Linked DNA regions of Saccharomyces cerevisiae S288C. The protein of the gene in region 2 purifies or fractionates together with the protein of the main gene of each other region. This does not show direct contact. Each region holds a gene or a part of one and is shown on either strand. Other genes may lie near its edges.

Evidence for each region. The genes of interacting proteins can lie anywhere in the genome.
Region 1: the proteins of YIP3 (region 2) and RTN1 purify together in Saccharomyces cerevisiae (affinity purification with western blotting; 2 studies listed by BioGRID, with this or other methods). This does not show direct contact.

The regions. Positions count from the first base shown.
Region 1 is NC_001136.10:928,391-932,019, forward strand, and holds RTN1 (Rtn1p), read right to left. Parts: upstream 1,968-3,629; coding exon 1,080-1,967; downstream 1-1,079. Other genes in the region: HEM1 (5-aminolevulinate synthase), read left to right, coding at 1-708; homoaconitate hydratase LYS4, read left to right, coding at 2,739-3,629.
Region 2 is NC_001146.8:537,266-548,633, reverse strand, and holds YIP3 (Yip3p), read right to left. Parts: upstream 3,367-11,368; coding exon 3,343-3,366; intron 3,264-3,342; coding exon 2,757-3,263; downstream 1-2,756. Other genes in the region: BOP3 (Bop3p), read right to left, coding at 1-534; YNL042W-B (uncharacterized protein), read right to left, coding at 1,264-1,521; LAP2 (bifunctional aminopeptidase/epoxide hydrolase), read right to left, coding at 3,656-5,671; YNL046W (uncharacterized protein), read right to left, coding at 5,812-6,330; SLM2 (phosphatidylinositol 4,5-bisphosphate-binding protein), read left to right, coding at 6,753-8,723; alpha-1,2-mannosyltransferase ALG11, read right to left, coding at 8,815-10,461; COPII subunit SFB2, read left to right, coding at 10,723-11,368.

The sequences.
Region 1 (3,629 bases), on a different chromosome or scaffold from region 2:
AAGACCAATGACAAGGGCGGCGCGAAGACTGTGATGGACCGTGTCGACATGATCACCGGCACTTTAGGTAAGTCTTTCGGTAGCGTAGGTGGCTACGTCGCAGCCTCTAGGAAATTGATCGATTGGTTCAGATCGTTTGCACCTGGTTTCATTTTCACCACGACTTTACCACCTTCAGTTATGGCAGGCGCTACCGCAGCAATTAGATACCAACGTTGCCACATCGACCTAAGAACCTCGCAACAGAAACATACCATGTACGTAAAGAAAGCTTTCCATGAGTTGGGCATTCCAGTTATTCCAAATCCTTCTCATATCGTCCCAGTGTTGATTGGTAATGCTGATTTGGCTAAGCAAGCTTCTGACATCTTAATCAATAAGCATCAAATCTACGTACAAGCTATCAACTTCCCTACGGTTGCTCGCGGTACCGAAAGATTGAGAATTACCCCAACGCCAGGTCACACCAACGATTTATCTGACATCTTAATCAATGCAGTTGATGATGTGTTCAATGAGCTACAGTTACCACGTGTCAGAGACTGGGAAAGCCAAGGTGGCTTATTGGGTGTTGGAGAGAGCGGATTTGTGGAAGAGTCTAACTTATGGACATCAAGCCAACTATCTTTAACTAATGACGACTTGAACCCTAATGTTAGAGACCCCATCGTTAAACAACTAGAGGTTTCTAGTGGTATCAAGCAGTAAAACAACCAATATATGCATGGGCTGAGATAGAGGTACAAGGAATTTGTAAATCAGTAAAAAAAAAAATTAACAGTTTTTTTTTTTCATTTTTTTTTTTTATTCTTATTTATGTATGATACTTTATTATTATTTCTCTTAATTATTTATTTATTTAACTAACACGATGAGCACTTTTAACTGCAATGGTTAAACTGTAGCAATGTTGGTAAAAAAGCAGGGAAAGTTCAAAAATAATTTATGTATTTTTCCTCGGGGGTACAGAAAGTAAAGAGAGAGAAACGTATGAGTATATATAGGCTAATGTAATATGTAGTGGTAAATAAAGAGACAAAAGTTAGCTATTCTTGTTTGAAATGAAAAAAAAAAAGCACTCAAGCGTTGTTTTTTTCCAATTCATTTTGCAAGTTTTTTGTACTTTTCTTCAATTCATTAGACAATTCATCGACGTTAAATTCTTGGGTAGTGGAAGGTTCGTGTTGTGGAACTTCTGGCATAACTTGAGCTGAAGATGTGTAAGCCTTAGACTCTGGTTCCAATGGAACATCAGCGGCCAACTTAGAAGTGCTGGCGGTTTGAGGACCGGCAGTAGAAGACACAGGAGCAGTCTTAGATTTGACCAAGTTGGAAATTGGGCCCAATTTAGATTCAACCTTGTCCAAGTATGGTTTTGTCTTTTCGCAAGCCATTTGAGAAAACTCTTGGGTCTTTTGCTTAGAAATTTCTACACCTTGAGCGACAGTAGCATCAATTTCATGCTTGTAGGAATGGTAGATAACTGGCAAAGTGAAGGTAAAAATGTCAGCAACAAAGACGATGGTCCAGATAGAGAACCAGGAGAAGAATTTGTGTAGTAGAAATAAGGCAACAGCGGTCTTGAAAGTGTGCTTAGGGACTTGAGCGAATACAGTCTTTCTTATGTGGGCTTGGAAGACTGGTAGCTGTTTCAAAGCTTCATCGATATGAGGCTTAATAAAGCCGGCGATATTTGGACATTCTTTAGGACCATACTTGGTGATTAAACCTTGTCCCAAAAAGAGCTTGGATACGAATTCAATAGATCCTGTTGTGAATAAGATAGTGTAGGCAACCTTCAAAAAGAAAGTGATCAAGTTAACTTTTTTCAAAATTAACAAGGCTAACAGAGACCCACCGAAATATTTACCGGTTTGAACAGGGTTCCTCCATAATAGCAAATCGCAATTACAGCTTTTTTGTTGTTGTTGTTGTTGGGCTTGGCTATGTTGAGCTGAGGCGGACATATTTGCGTGTGTGAATATATATTATATATATATACGCTTGCGGGTAGGAAGAAACAATTAAATATTTGGCTTGAGAGTTGAAAAGAAAGAGATCAAGAAAAGGGAATTGTTGAATAAAAATTTGAAAAATGCGAAGTTGAAGTGCCATAGAAGAGAAACAGCCCACACAGGGGAGAAGCCCACTGGAAAGGGGGCACTGACCAACTTTAAATAGGAAACAGAAGATACCACAAGCCAGCGATACAACAGCACCAAACACCGAAAAGAATAGCCAAAGCTGTCCTCTGGTGTTGGAAAAACTGGAAAAAACGCAACTGCGTTGGCTGCTACGGTGAAAAATTTTCCTATGACTTTTTTCACTGCTTGTTCGTGCGAAATTACCGCAAACCCGGTAAAATGTACACGTATCAAGTGATAAACAATTTCGTGTCAAGTGAGCAGAATGGAGCGATTTGGAAAAAAAAAATTTTTATTGTTTTTTCCCCCGGGATTTTGCTCGAGATGACTGAAATTTTGTAATCGATGAGTCTATACCAGAGGCAGCAAATATCACCAACATACACAGGTATACACAATCTCATGTCCACACACACGTACAGACACGCACATATATATATATATATATATATCCCCATAGGTATTTATATATACAAAAGAATCCTCGTGTGTTTGTGTGTGCAATAGCTAGTTTTGCGCTGCCTCTTATAGTAGACAATATCACTTTTTCAATAAAATAGAACTTGCAAGGAAACAAAATTGTATCGCTTCAAGATGCTACGATCAACCACATTTACTCGTTCGTTCCACAGTTCTAGGGCCTGGTTGAAAGGTCAGAACCTAACTGAAAAAATTGTTCAGTCGTATGCGGTCAACCTTCCCGAGGGTAAAGTTGTGCATTCTGGTGACTATGTATCGATCAAGCCGGCACACTGTATGTCCCACGATAATTCGTGGCCTGTAGCTTTGAAATTCATGGGGCTTGGCGCTACCAAGATCAAGAATCCTTCACAGATTGTGACCACTCTGGACCACGATATTCAGAACAAATCAGAGAAAAATTTGACCAAGTACAAGAACATCGAAAATTTTGCTAAGAAACACCATATAGACCACTACCCTGCCGGTAGAGGTATTGGTCATCAAATTATGATTGAGGAGGGCTATGCTTTCCCCTTGAACATGACTGTCGCATCTGACTCGCATTCAAACACCTACGGTGGTCTGGGGTCGCTGGGCACTCCAATAGTGAGAACAGACGCTGCAGCCATATGGGCCACGGGACAGACGTGGTGGCAGATCCCACCAGTGGCTCAGGTTGAGTTGAAAGGTCAATTGCCTCAGGGTGTTTCCGGAAAAGATATCATTGTCGCATTATGTGGGCTTTTCAACAATGATCAAGTTCTAAATCACGCCATTGAATTCACGGGTGACTCTTTGAATGCATTGCCTATCGATCACAGACTCACTATTGCTAACATGACCACCGAGTGGGGGGCTCTTTCTGGTTTGTTCCCCGTGGACAAAACTTTGATCGACTGGTATAAAAACCGTTTGCAAAAGCTGGGCACCAATAATCATCCAAGGATTAATCCAAAGACTATCCGCGCACTAGAAGAAAAGGCGAAGATTCCGAAAGCAGACAAGGATGCACATTATGCCAAG
Region 2 (11,368 bases):
AGCTCTTCGTTGTACATTTGTAACTGTGGAGTGTGATATACCGCCGGTAGAGGATGATGCTGGAAACTTATATGGAGAGGGCTGTCGACTCATTGGAGTTGGTGACACTGTGTTCATATTTAGAGGTTTTAATGACTTCATAGAACCATTCAATCTGGGCAGATTTTCTGAAGATTGCGTGCCTTCTGTATTGTTATGTGGTTGATTGCCCCCTGCCTTCATCGGCGAAGACGCCGGTACGCCATGGTCGGTGTTGAATAGTTTATGTATTTGATTTATGGGCAGACCTGAACTGGAAGCAAGCTTAAACAACTCTATCGAACGATTCAAGTTTTCAAGTTTATAATATTGCTGCTTAGTCTTTTCTTGTTCTATTTTCAAATCCATAGCTTTCATTAAAGCATTCTCAGAAAAAGCCCATTCCGATACATTAGTACCAAATATTATATCTAACAGCGATTTGCTCTTGTTGACATTATTATGACTATTATCATTGCTTTCCTTTGGCTGGCTGTAACTGTTGAAAGTACTCATTGGTCGCCTGTGCTCACAGATGGTTGCAAGTTTTCCATGTAATGTAATTTGCTACTTATTTTCCTACTGCACGCGCAAGTTTTCTCGTTGACTGTTATTAAGAAACAAATGAACAAACAACAACTGCACTAGAAGAGCAACAAGACTAGTTTCCGCTTTCCTTCTCTTTTTCTTTTTTAAAAAAGCCAATACTGCATTTGCAGCTTACTGAAGAGGCCAAAAGAAACAAGGCTTGATGATAGTCAGTAATCTTCCTCTGGACCTCTTCGCCGAGTTCTTCGAGAAGTTCCCAATAAGGTAATCGAAACGAGAGAAAAAAAGACGAGCAAAAAATTTTCTCAATTTGCCTACTTTTAAGGGTTCGGAGAGGAAGGTTTATTTGTAAATCATGACATTATTGGGCGAAGCGTAAGTGGCTTTGAAGAAGAGGAATAGCTACTCGACCAAAACTTGAAGATACTATCATACCCAACTTGGAGCGCTCAGTGACTAGTCTGCCTTTAGTGCTGTCCTGCCTCCCGTCATGCCAAGAGCCGTACTCTCCCCTTAAGGGCTGCTATTTTTTTCCGGTAGGTGTTCGGAATCCCCTTTCGAGAAAAGTAATTAATCCGAGAATTCCTTATATTTCTTACCAGAAATAGTAAGCGAAAAGGACGTTGAACTATAGCAGATCAGCGCGTCTTCATAATCCCAGAAGGAGGCGGGAAGAACAACCCCCCCCATATAGTTTTACTGGTCTCCTTTCAATCTGTTTGTTCTGAACCTACTTTCATTCTTTTGGCAGATATATGTTGCAACACGTACATAGAGTGAGTTTACTTCTTTCAGCTTGGAGAAGCATGAGAGGTTAGGTTGATTGATGCTAAACAAAAAAATTCCGCCCTGATGGTGAAAAAAGATAACGGGGCGAGCTGGGAATTGAACCCAGGGCCTCTCGCATGCTTTGTCTTCCTGTTTAGGCAGGAAGTCGCCCAAAGCGAGAATCATACCACTAGACCACACGCCCGATTATTTCGTGTGGTTGTTGTATTACGGGCTCGAGTAATACCGGAGTGTCTTGACAATCCTAATATAAACAGTCTTAGGGAAGTAACCAGTTGTCAAAACGGTTTATCAGATTAATTCACGGAATGTTACTTATCTTATATATTATATAAAATATGAATCATACTAAGTGGTGGAAGCGCGGAATCTCGGATCTAAACTAATTGTTCAGGCATTTATACTTTGGGTAGTTCAGCTAGGGAAGGTCGGGTTTTGTCTCATGTTGTTCGTTTTGTTATAAGGTTGTTTCATATGTGTTTTATGAACGTTCAGGGTGACGTATTGTCATACTGACATATCTCATTTTGAGATACAACAGTGGTTGTGTCATGAAGTTAGTCAATACTAGCCGTCTTAACAATATTAATACCTGTCAGAAGAGCAGCTTGATTGACGGAATGTTACTTATCCCATATAATCTATATAGGATCTAAATCTGACTAAAGGGTGGAAGCATAGATCTTCGGAGCTAAACTGATTGCTCAACTATTTATACGTTTAGGTTCATCAAGGCAACCGGGGCTTTGAAAATACTTAATCTTGTTTTTTTCGCAACAACTGTTTCATACGTGTTTCATACGTCTTGTACGTTTAGGTTGATGAATCTGGTGATGCAGGGGTATTTCATTTTGAAGTGTAGTAGAGGTCTTCTAATGAAAACTCGGCAGGGCCCTAAGCTCAAACTCTACCTCATCTACGTTGACCCTTTTTACCTTCTAGATGCCATCAGTTGTTAATAGTAGTAATGGAATACGATTTGCCAATCAATCTTACAATCGCATATAATTCGTCACTGTTGAATATCTGCGACGTACACCATCTAATCACTTCGCTTAGTCGATATAACCATTTGTTTGAAAAGATGAATTGATTCTAATCTTGCCTCTCTCGGGTTATGTTATTATTATTTTTACGTTTTGGCACGTGAATCTTCAGTAATTGATTGCACGCTTGATAAACGAAAAAAACATAAACAAATAAGGTAAGACTGCATTGTAAATCCTAGGAATGAGAAAGAACAGAGAAGCTAACTGCAATTATGAATGGTGTCTGTATACAATTAAATACTAATGTTGACGGAGAAAGAGAATAAAAGACAAGAATTAACTAAATATTGAAGAAGAGTAAAATACACAATAGAAAAGAATGACTCCTTTTCCCAACACTTGTAGGAGTGTTCAAACAGTTTCTTCATCAAATACAGTTTCGATGGGTTTTTCCATCAATGATGCATGTCCGAAAACGCTGACGGCAGAAGCACCGATCAACCATAGCAAAGTTGAGATTGGCGAAGCTAAGAAACCTATTGGCACAGCAACACAAACCAGTCCGGTGTATAGTTGGTTGGTCTTGAAAGAACCAAATGGAGTTACGAGCTCCTCACCCTTTAGTTTGTTTATACCAACAATACCAGCTACGACTAGAACAATAACAAAGAGTAGCAACAAGTTTGTTAATAATGTGTAAATGCTCAAACAACCAATAATCAAACCATAGTTACTGGAAAAGTACTTCAGGTTATACGCCACTCTGGATTGAACTTCCCCAAAGTTTTGAGGTTTGGAAATTTTCTTGAAATTGAAAAATTCTTGCGGGGTGCGAAGGGTTGCTAATTTAGATTGCAAGGATTGGAACTCGCTCTTAATATTTTCCATGGAGAAGTTTTGAGTGAAACGTGAAACTTGCTATAGAAATATAGAAAAAAGGTTAACGCGTTAGTATAGTTTTTCAATGATGCAAATGTGTTTACAATTTAGAACTTACGGCTAAAGCTCCTAACTGATTCATTATTGGAGTATTTGATGTTATTTTATGCGTATTTGACGGCTGATAGTTCCAAACTCAGTGTTCAAAGCCCTGCAATATTGAATTCAATCTGAATTCTTTCGATTTGTATTTATATTCGTTGTTATTATTTATTTTTTCTTTTTGCCTCGATTGCATGTGACAAAAGTGCAAAATTCGTATCGCACGACACAGAACTCCGCCACTAATTAGAACCAGAGAAGTAGCAATGAAGGCTCATTAGTAGGTTATATTTAATTGTTTACGTATTCATGTTACGACACGTCCCTTTTCAAAGACCTAAATCTTGTTTCACAAGAGCTTTACAGATTGGATGATACGTGTCCTTGAATTTGTCGAAAGTTGCAAGTGCCAATCGACGGTCTACAGAGTTTAATAGTCTGTAACCGGGACGGACAAACTTCATTCTACCTACAGTTCCCAACCAATCGGCCAAATGCTTATATTCTTCTTGCAGCTTGGCAAAGATCTGAAATTTGAACATCTTGAAAACAACTTCCGCGTTCTGTGATTTAACAATGTTATCTTGATAGATATCTAACAGTGCCCTAGATGCCACGGGAAACTTGGCCCAGTCAAAATCTTTTGGTTTCTTGTTGGAATGGCCATTTTGTGTCAAAGTTTCCAAGAACAAAACCAATTGATTTGAATTAAAATCCTTAATGTCAATAGCGTTAAATTCAGACCGGAAATCCTCTGTGGTTTTCAAATGTTGAGCCATTTCGACCCACTTGTCAGCCAATTGATAAACATTATCAGCCAAAGCCGTAATAAAATGAGGCCTTGGTGGCATACCTGGTTTATACAGCCAAGTTTCCCAGTCAACGGAATCCAAAATTTCTTTCTTTTCGGGATAGAACTCATACAAAGTATCCAAAAACTGGAAAGTATCCAATGATTTTTTGGCAAACTTCTTGAAATAGTGTCTAATAAATGGATCAAATTCAGCCTTACCACCCAAAATAGTTTCCAAGTGAAATAGTAAGTTGAACCCCTTTTCGTACGGAACAGTGGAAAAGGCATCGTCAGGGTCAGTGTTATCGTTCAAGTTTTGTACCAAAGTGGAAAATCTTTCAGGATCTTTCATAGAATCAATAGAATTCTGCAAATCGCTCCAACCAATCAGAGCACTGAAATGTCTAGTTGGTTCGCCATGAATGGCACCAATAATTCTTCTTTCTAAGTAAACGGTCCAACCTTCATTCAACCAAAAATGATTCCACGAACAATTGGTCACTAAGTTACCAGACCATGAGTGAGCAAGTTCATGGGCGATGACATCAATGTTGGATCTGTCATGTGCAATCAAGGTGGGCGTAGCAAAAGTCATATTCGGAGACTCCATACCGCCGTAAGGGTACGAATCGACGTTAACTAAGATATCATAAGTGCCCCACTCGTATTCAAAGATAATTTTCTCTGCAGTTTGAATGAATTTCTCTACATCGTTTTCAAATTCCCATTGACAATCTTTCAAACGAAATGGTTCAGTGTAAACTGTGGAACGAGGTCCAATTGGAGCGCTTGACAAATCACCGGAAGCAATACCGATCAGGTAGGCTGGGATAGGGACTTTCTGTTCAAATCTGTAAATATTAGTATCCTTGCTTGTATCTTCAATCCTGATGCCTGAAAAAACCACTGGTAGTGGGGACTCGATAGATGCAGTGAAAGTAGACTTCACAGAGGGAGTATCAAAGCAGGGGAACAAAGACCTCGCATGAATAGCTTCCAACTGTGAAAACACGTACGGTTTACCGCCCTTGGTTTGCTTGCTGTTCAACCATTGCAAAGCGGTGCACTTGTCAGTCGTACGAAATTGAATATTCAAGGTAAAGTTATCGTTGCAAGAAGCGTTATTGATGACTAACCTGGAGCCCAATGGCTCCTTTCTTTGCTCAATTTGAAAATCTGCCTTGGAACCATCAATATGAACCTCCTGGACATCCAAATAGGATGTATCCAGATGTAATTCATCCGATTTATTTTTACCTTCGTGCAGTTTTTTCAATTGGAATGTAACGCTCCCTGAAATGGCTGACTTTTCGAAGGAAACAGACAGGTTTAAATCGGTGTGAAGAACTGCGAAGTCCTTATAATTTGATAAAGTAGACTGATCGTATTCGGGGGAGCGGGAAGGTCTTCTCTGCTCAATTGAAAGAGGCAACATTTTATGAGGGGTGGAAATGTGTATGTTTCTTGAGATTACAGTAAGTAAACCTCGAAATCGAAGCGTGGGCAGGTAAATAGAGCTGGAATGACGAATGACAAATGGAAGCAAGAACATCAATTAGAACACCAAGATAACCTAATACATAAAGCAAACTATACTAAAGTGCGTTTATATAAGTCAAACGAAAAAGTGGAAGAAAAAAAGTGACATGATTTTCCATACGCAATGCCCCCGGAAACTGAAGACGCATTGTGTCAAAAGATGAATGAAAGCCACGACGAAACAGCCGAAAATGGTGACAGGAGAGGGCCAACGAGCCCCGTGAGAAGACCTGTGTAGGGCGTACCCATGAAGGAGGCCCCTATGATTTTCCATTTGGAAACACTCAGGATGTTTTCTGATGACTGGATGATGATGTCCTTGAGGACCAGGAGACAGCCAAAAAATACAATTGAGATCGCGAGCACAACAACCAAAGGCCTTGTGTTGATGTCATAGCGAACATACCTTTCATTGATATGATGCGTAGATGGCGTTACTGACGGTGAGCTGTTGTACATAGAGTTTTTGACTCTCACGCTTTGATTATCCCTAAAATCACCCGGAATTCTGTACTGGGATTCAACCGGCACTGCCTGCTTCTGTACCCTTCTTTTATGCAGCAGCTTCCGCAGTTGGTTAGTGGTTCCGCATTTCTGTGATTTGCTTCCATCTACAGTTGAAGTTTTCCTCTTAAAGAATTGCCCAATTGACCTCTTTGATACGTGCTCCATTAATATCTTGCGCCGAAATTGTCACACTATGCTCACGTATGATTAGTGTATTTATATATGAATAATTCAAATGGCAGGCAGTTTCTTGTTCGAGCCAGCATTGGCGAAAAAAATGCCAAAAGTAGAAGTAAATACGGTAGACACTCCAGCAAGATAAAGCTGCAATATATAACACATCACGGCGATGCTTGTATATTTAGGAGCTCTTACGTCCACCAATGCTAATATATCCTCCTAATGATGGCGCTGATACTGGTAAAAACTCATAATGGTAGTAGTCATTAGCCAATACCTGCCTCTTTTTTCCGGGTCATGCCGCATTCTTTAATCAAAAGGCGATGCAACCTACTACATGAGAAGATGACCGCGCAAGCAAAGGTTTAGGAGAGCGTTATACGCTTTACCCAGCCGTCCATTGCACCATGTCTTACCAACGGAACAGTGCAAGAGCCTCTCTTGACCTCAGAAGTCAATATCAACAACTGGAAGGCAGAATGAGGTCAGAACATTTTAATCCCGCCTATCAACAGCAGCAACAAAAAGGCCAGAACATACCCCTGTCACTACCCTCGTCGCTTGCGCAACGCAATCCTATACCTTACCCTATCGACGCTGTGACTTCCGATCCCACTATCCCGGCTCAGTTGAACGTATATGATCACGATCGGCAAAATTCGATAGTCGATGCTGCGGCTGGCACCAATACGACGCACTCTTTGAACTCTAATAATATTCCATCATCACAAAATAATAATATTAATAATAACAATATCAATAATGTTGGTTCCTTCACTGACCCTTCCATGCTAACGCTGCCAAAAATGTCTTTACATAGCCACCAGAAGCAGTATGATTCTAACCAAAACGATCCTAGGTCCCCTCTGGCGATACTGATACCGACTTCTGCGCAGCCCACTGATGTCTTGTCTGCTAGGTTTTCTGCCTGGAGAAATGTTATTCGTGCCATCTTGGTATATCTCTCTGAGACCGCCTCAATACAGGACGAAATAGTTAGACAGCAACTGAGGTTGTCCCATGCTGTGCAGTTCCCCTTTTTCAGCATTGAAAACCAATATCAACCGGTCTCTAATGAAGACAAGTCCATGCAGAAATTTTTTCTGCCCTTAGGAAGTGGATCCGTTCAAGATTTGCCCACGATGCTGACCAAGTATCATGATAATCTGGCCTCTTTGGCATCGAAAAGTTCCAAGGAGTTGACCAGTGAAATTATACCCAGGCTAGAGGATTTGAGAAGAGATTTACTAGTCAAGATTAAAGAAATTAAGGCTTTGCAATCTGATTTTAAAAATTCCTGTAACAAAGAGCTTCAGCAAACTAAACACTTGATGAAGCTTTTTAATGAATCATTAAAAGAATGTAAATTAGGTACACCAAAGAGTGACCCATTTTTGATAAAATTGCAATTGGAAAAGCAAATCAAAAGACAGTTGGTGGAAGAAAATTATTTGCACGAGGCATTCGATAACTTGCAGAATTCAGGGGCCCAGTTAGAAAGTGTTATTGTAATGGAAATACAGAACGGATTGACCAGCTACGCTAGAATTCTTGGCAAAGAAGCCCAAGTTGTATTTGACTCAGTTATCTCTAAATTAGATTCCACGATACTGAACAAAAACACGAATCTTGAATGGGATAGTTTCATTCTAAGGAATATTTCCAATTTTGTGCCTCCAAATTTACCCATGAGGAGGTTTAAAGAGATCTCGTATAGCAATCAAAACGATCCTTTTACTTTTGAAGTTAAATCTGGGTTTCTGGAGAAAAGATCAAAATTTTTAAAGTCATACTCACGTGGGTTTTATGTCCTCACTCCAAGCTTTTTACATGAATTTAAGACACCAGATAAGCATAAATTTTCCACACCGTTAATGTCAATACCATTAGTGGAATGTACTGTCACTGAGCATTCCAAAAAGACGAAATCCAACTCAGAGCAGGGCAAGAACAAGTTTATATTGCGTACGAATTCTAACGGACTAATACATAGGGGTCACAACTGGGTATTCAAAGTAGACTCTTATGACGATATGATAGAATGGTTTGGAAATATCAAAGCCTTATCAAGTTTGCCCAACTATGACGACAAATGCAAATATGTGAGTAAAGTTGCCAAACTGTCTAAAGAAAAAGCCAAGAGTAATGAAAACACCACGGAGAGCGTGACCCCCCAGGTAACTAATGAGCAACATACGAGATACGATGATGTGAGTAGTAGCAATTTTCCCTTGAATTCCATTCCAAAATTAGACAATTTGACAATCACTAACACCACGTCATCGATACCGGAAACGAATGATTCACAAATTCAGAATAGGGTTCCTGAATTTTACATTGAAAATGTAGATTCCCCTAGAAAAAGCAATCAGCTGTGACAAGTAAGTTAATTATATAGTAATGCTCTAGTTTGTATGTAATATTATGTATAAGTTTTCTCATAAACAAGGCTTCTATTTTCAAAAAACATCAGCCCCTTTCCTCCTCTTCTAATAATTTACAAATAGGATTCAGTACAAAGTTTTCCCAATCTTTATCAAACTTCAAATCAGAGAATTTATACAATGAATACTGCTGGTTTCTTGCGCCCATCACCCTTAGGCAGTCATAGTCCAGTTTCGTAATTTGTAAGAAAAGGTCGGACAAATTAGGGTATCTCAGAGGATCTTTGGTTGTGTTATAATCAGGATCACTCGGCTCTTTAAAGAAAAATCCAGTAGTTTCACCATCATCTTCGAGTTTTGCAAAATATTTCTTTTGTAACTCCCATTGTGGTGGAGCTTTTCCGATATTCCCGTTGGCATCCCATGGAGTAACTATATCTAACAATGGGCCCGCCGAGGCATGAACTATGGGGATCAAACCGGAAGCCATATACTCTACAACTGCAATTCCAAAGTGCTCATTCCACATGGCATTAACACCGAAAGTAGATTTGTTTAGTAATATTTCAATCTTATCGAAGGGCAGATTTTTTTCGAATGATATCAAATGTTTAGGAATTTTTAATACATTTTCTGACCAGTCTTGTAAACTTTTAACATAATTTTCATCTTGCTTGGATCTAGTGGACCCCGCCATTATCAATTTAATTGGCGATACAGAATCCGGTAAATTTTTCAAGAAAGTTGCAAAGGACTCAATGATTAACTTATGACGTTTCTCAGGACGAAATTGTGCCAACACAATTGCTTGATTTAATCTCTCACCCTTTGCAGTACCAAACTTTTGCTTCCAATCTACTAATTTCTCAGTAGAGCATGGAGGATATATAATTTTACACGTATTGGATTGCCAAATTTGCTTTATGTGGTTATTTGTCCATGTTGAGTTTGTGATTACAATATCAATTTTAGAACCAATGGATTGATAAATTAACATAAAAACTTTCCAGTATAATATTTTACCGTAAACTTTGATACCCTTCTTGGGCATTTTGAACAGCTTATTTAACATGTCTTTTGACATTATCGGATAATGCGTATATGTGACGATAGGAATTCTCCTCAAAAACCTAGCAATAATAGGATAGCTGAAAGGGTACCCCATTGTATCAATCCATATATCAGGTGGACACTGAATAATGGATTCAAATGCGAGAATCATTGATCCAATTGCTTGTCCAATCAACGTGAAATGCTTCCATGTTGAAGAATCCACCAAGTATCTTAGCTTCAATGAAATGAAAAATATTCTATCCGAATCCAAGTCGTAATCGAACTTCGCTTTCACATTATTTAGAATATTCTCCGGAGTAACATTCTCTCCATTCACAAAATCCCCTGAATAAATGACAATAACGTTCTTAGCATCTTTTCTCAAAGTGATATCTACAGCTTTCCAGAGCACTTTTTCCCCACCACCACCAGCATTACAATACGGATGAAAAAAACCAAAAACTTTCACATTCTTCTCACCACAGGAGGCAACTGCTCTGTTCAGTAATGAAGATTTTTTGGAGAACGGATTCAAGCTGGAATACACCCATTGACGGAAGATCCACGTGAGAACCTTAATTAGTCCATACACTAGTACTAAAGATGATACAACATATTTTTTGAACCCAAAATGAGACTTAACCTCTTCAAAATTGTAGTTTGTCCAAGCACTGCCCATTTTCGCCTGCAATCACCTGAACATGTTGGTCACACTTGGATACTAACATCTATCTTCACTTCACTTACCTCTCAATCTTATTATTTATTGAACTTTTCACTTTTTGTTTAGCTTACCCGAAGGACATAGATGTAGCGATGACAACGATGAATGATACGTCAGTTAAAAGGGTCTTCGTCGAACTCTTCATCTAACCCTTCATTTGCAGTGTGCTTGGTTGATGAACCTTCTTCCATTAATGATCGACAGCTGCAGTGAATAATGTCTCATCATAAGAAGAGGGTGTACCCTCAAGCTCAGGTGCCATACATTGCAAGTATGCCAATAGTTGCAGAGCAACAGCAGTCTCAACAACAAATCGACCAAACAGCTTATGCAATGGGCAACCTACAATTGAACAATAGGGCTAACTCATTTACACAGCTAGCTCAAAATCAACAGTTTCCTGGTTCTGGGAAAGTGGTCAATCAACTATACCCTGTGGATTTGTTTACAGAATTACCTCCGCCAATCCGTGACCTGTCTTTACCACCTCTTCCAATCACCATTTCTCAGGATAACATTGTGACTCCATCCGAATATTCAAATGTTCCATACCAGTACGTCAGATCTACTTTGAAAGCGGTGCCAAAAACAAACTCTCTGCTGAAGAAAACGAAGTTACCATTTGCCATTGTTATTAGACCATATTTGCATTTGCAAGATTCAGACAACCAAGTACCGCTAAATACTGACGGAGTCATTGTCCGCTGTCGCCGTTGTCGTTCATATATGAACCCTTTTGTCGTTTTCATTAACCAAGGGAGAAAATGGCAATGTAATATATGCCGTTTCAAAAATGATGTCCCATTTGGGTTTGATCAGAACTTACAAGGCGCTCCAATCAACAGATATGAAAGAAACGAAA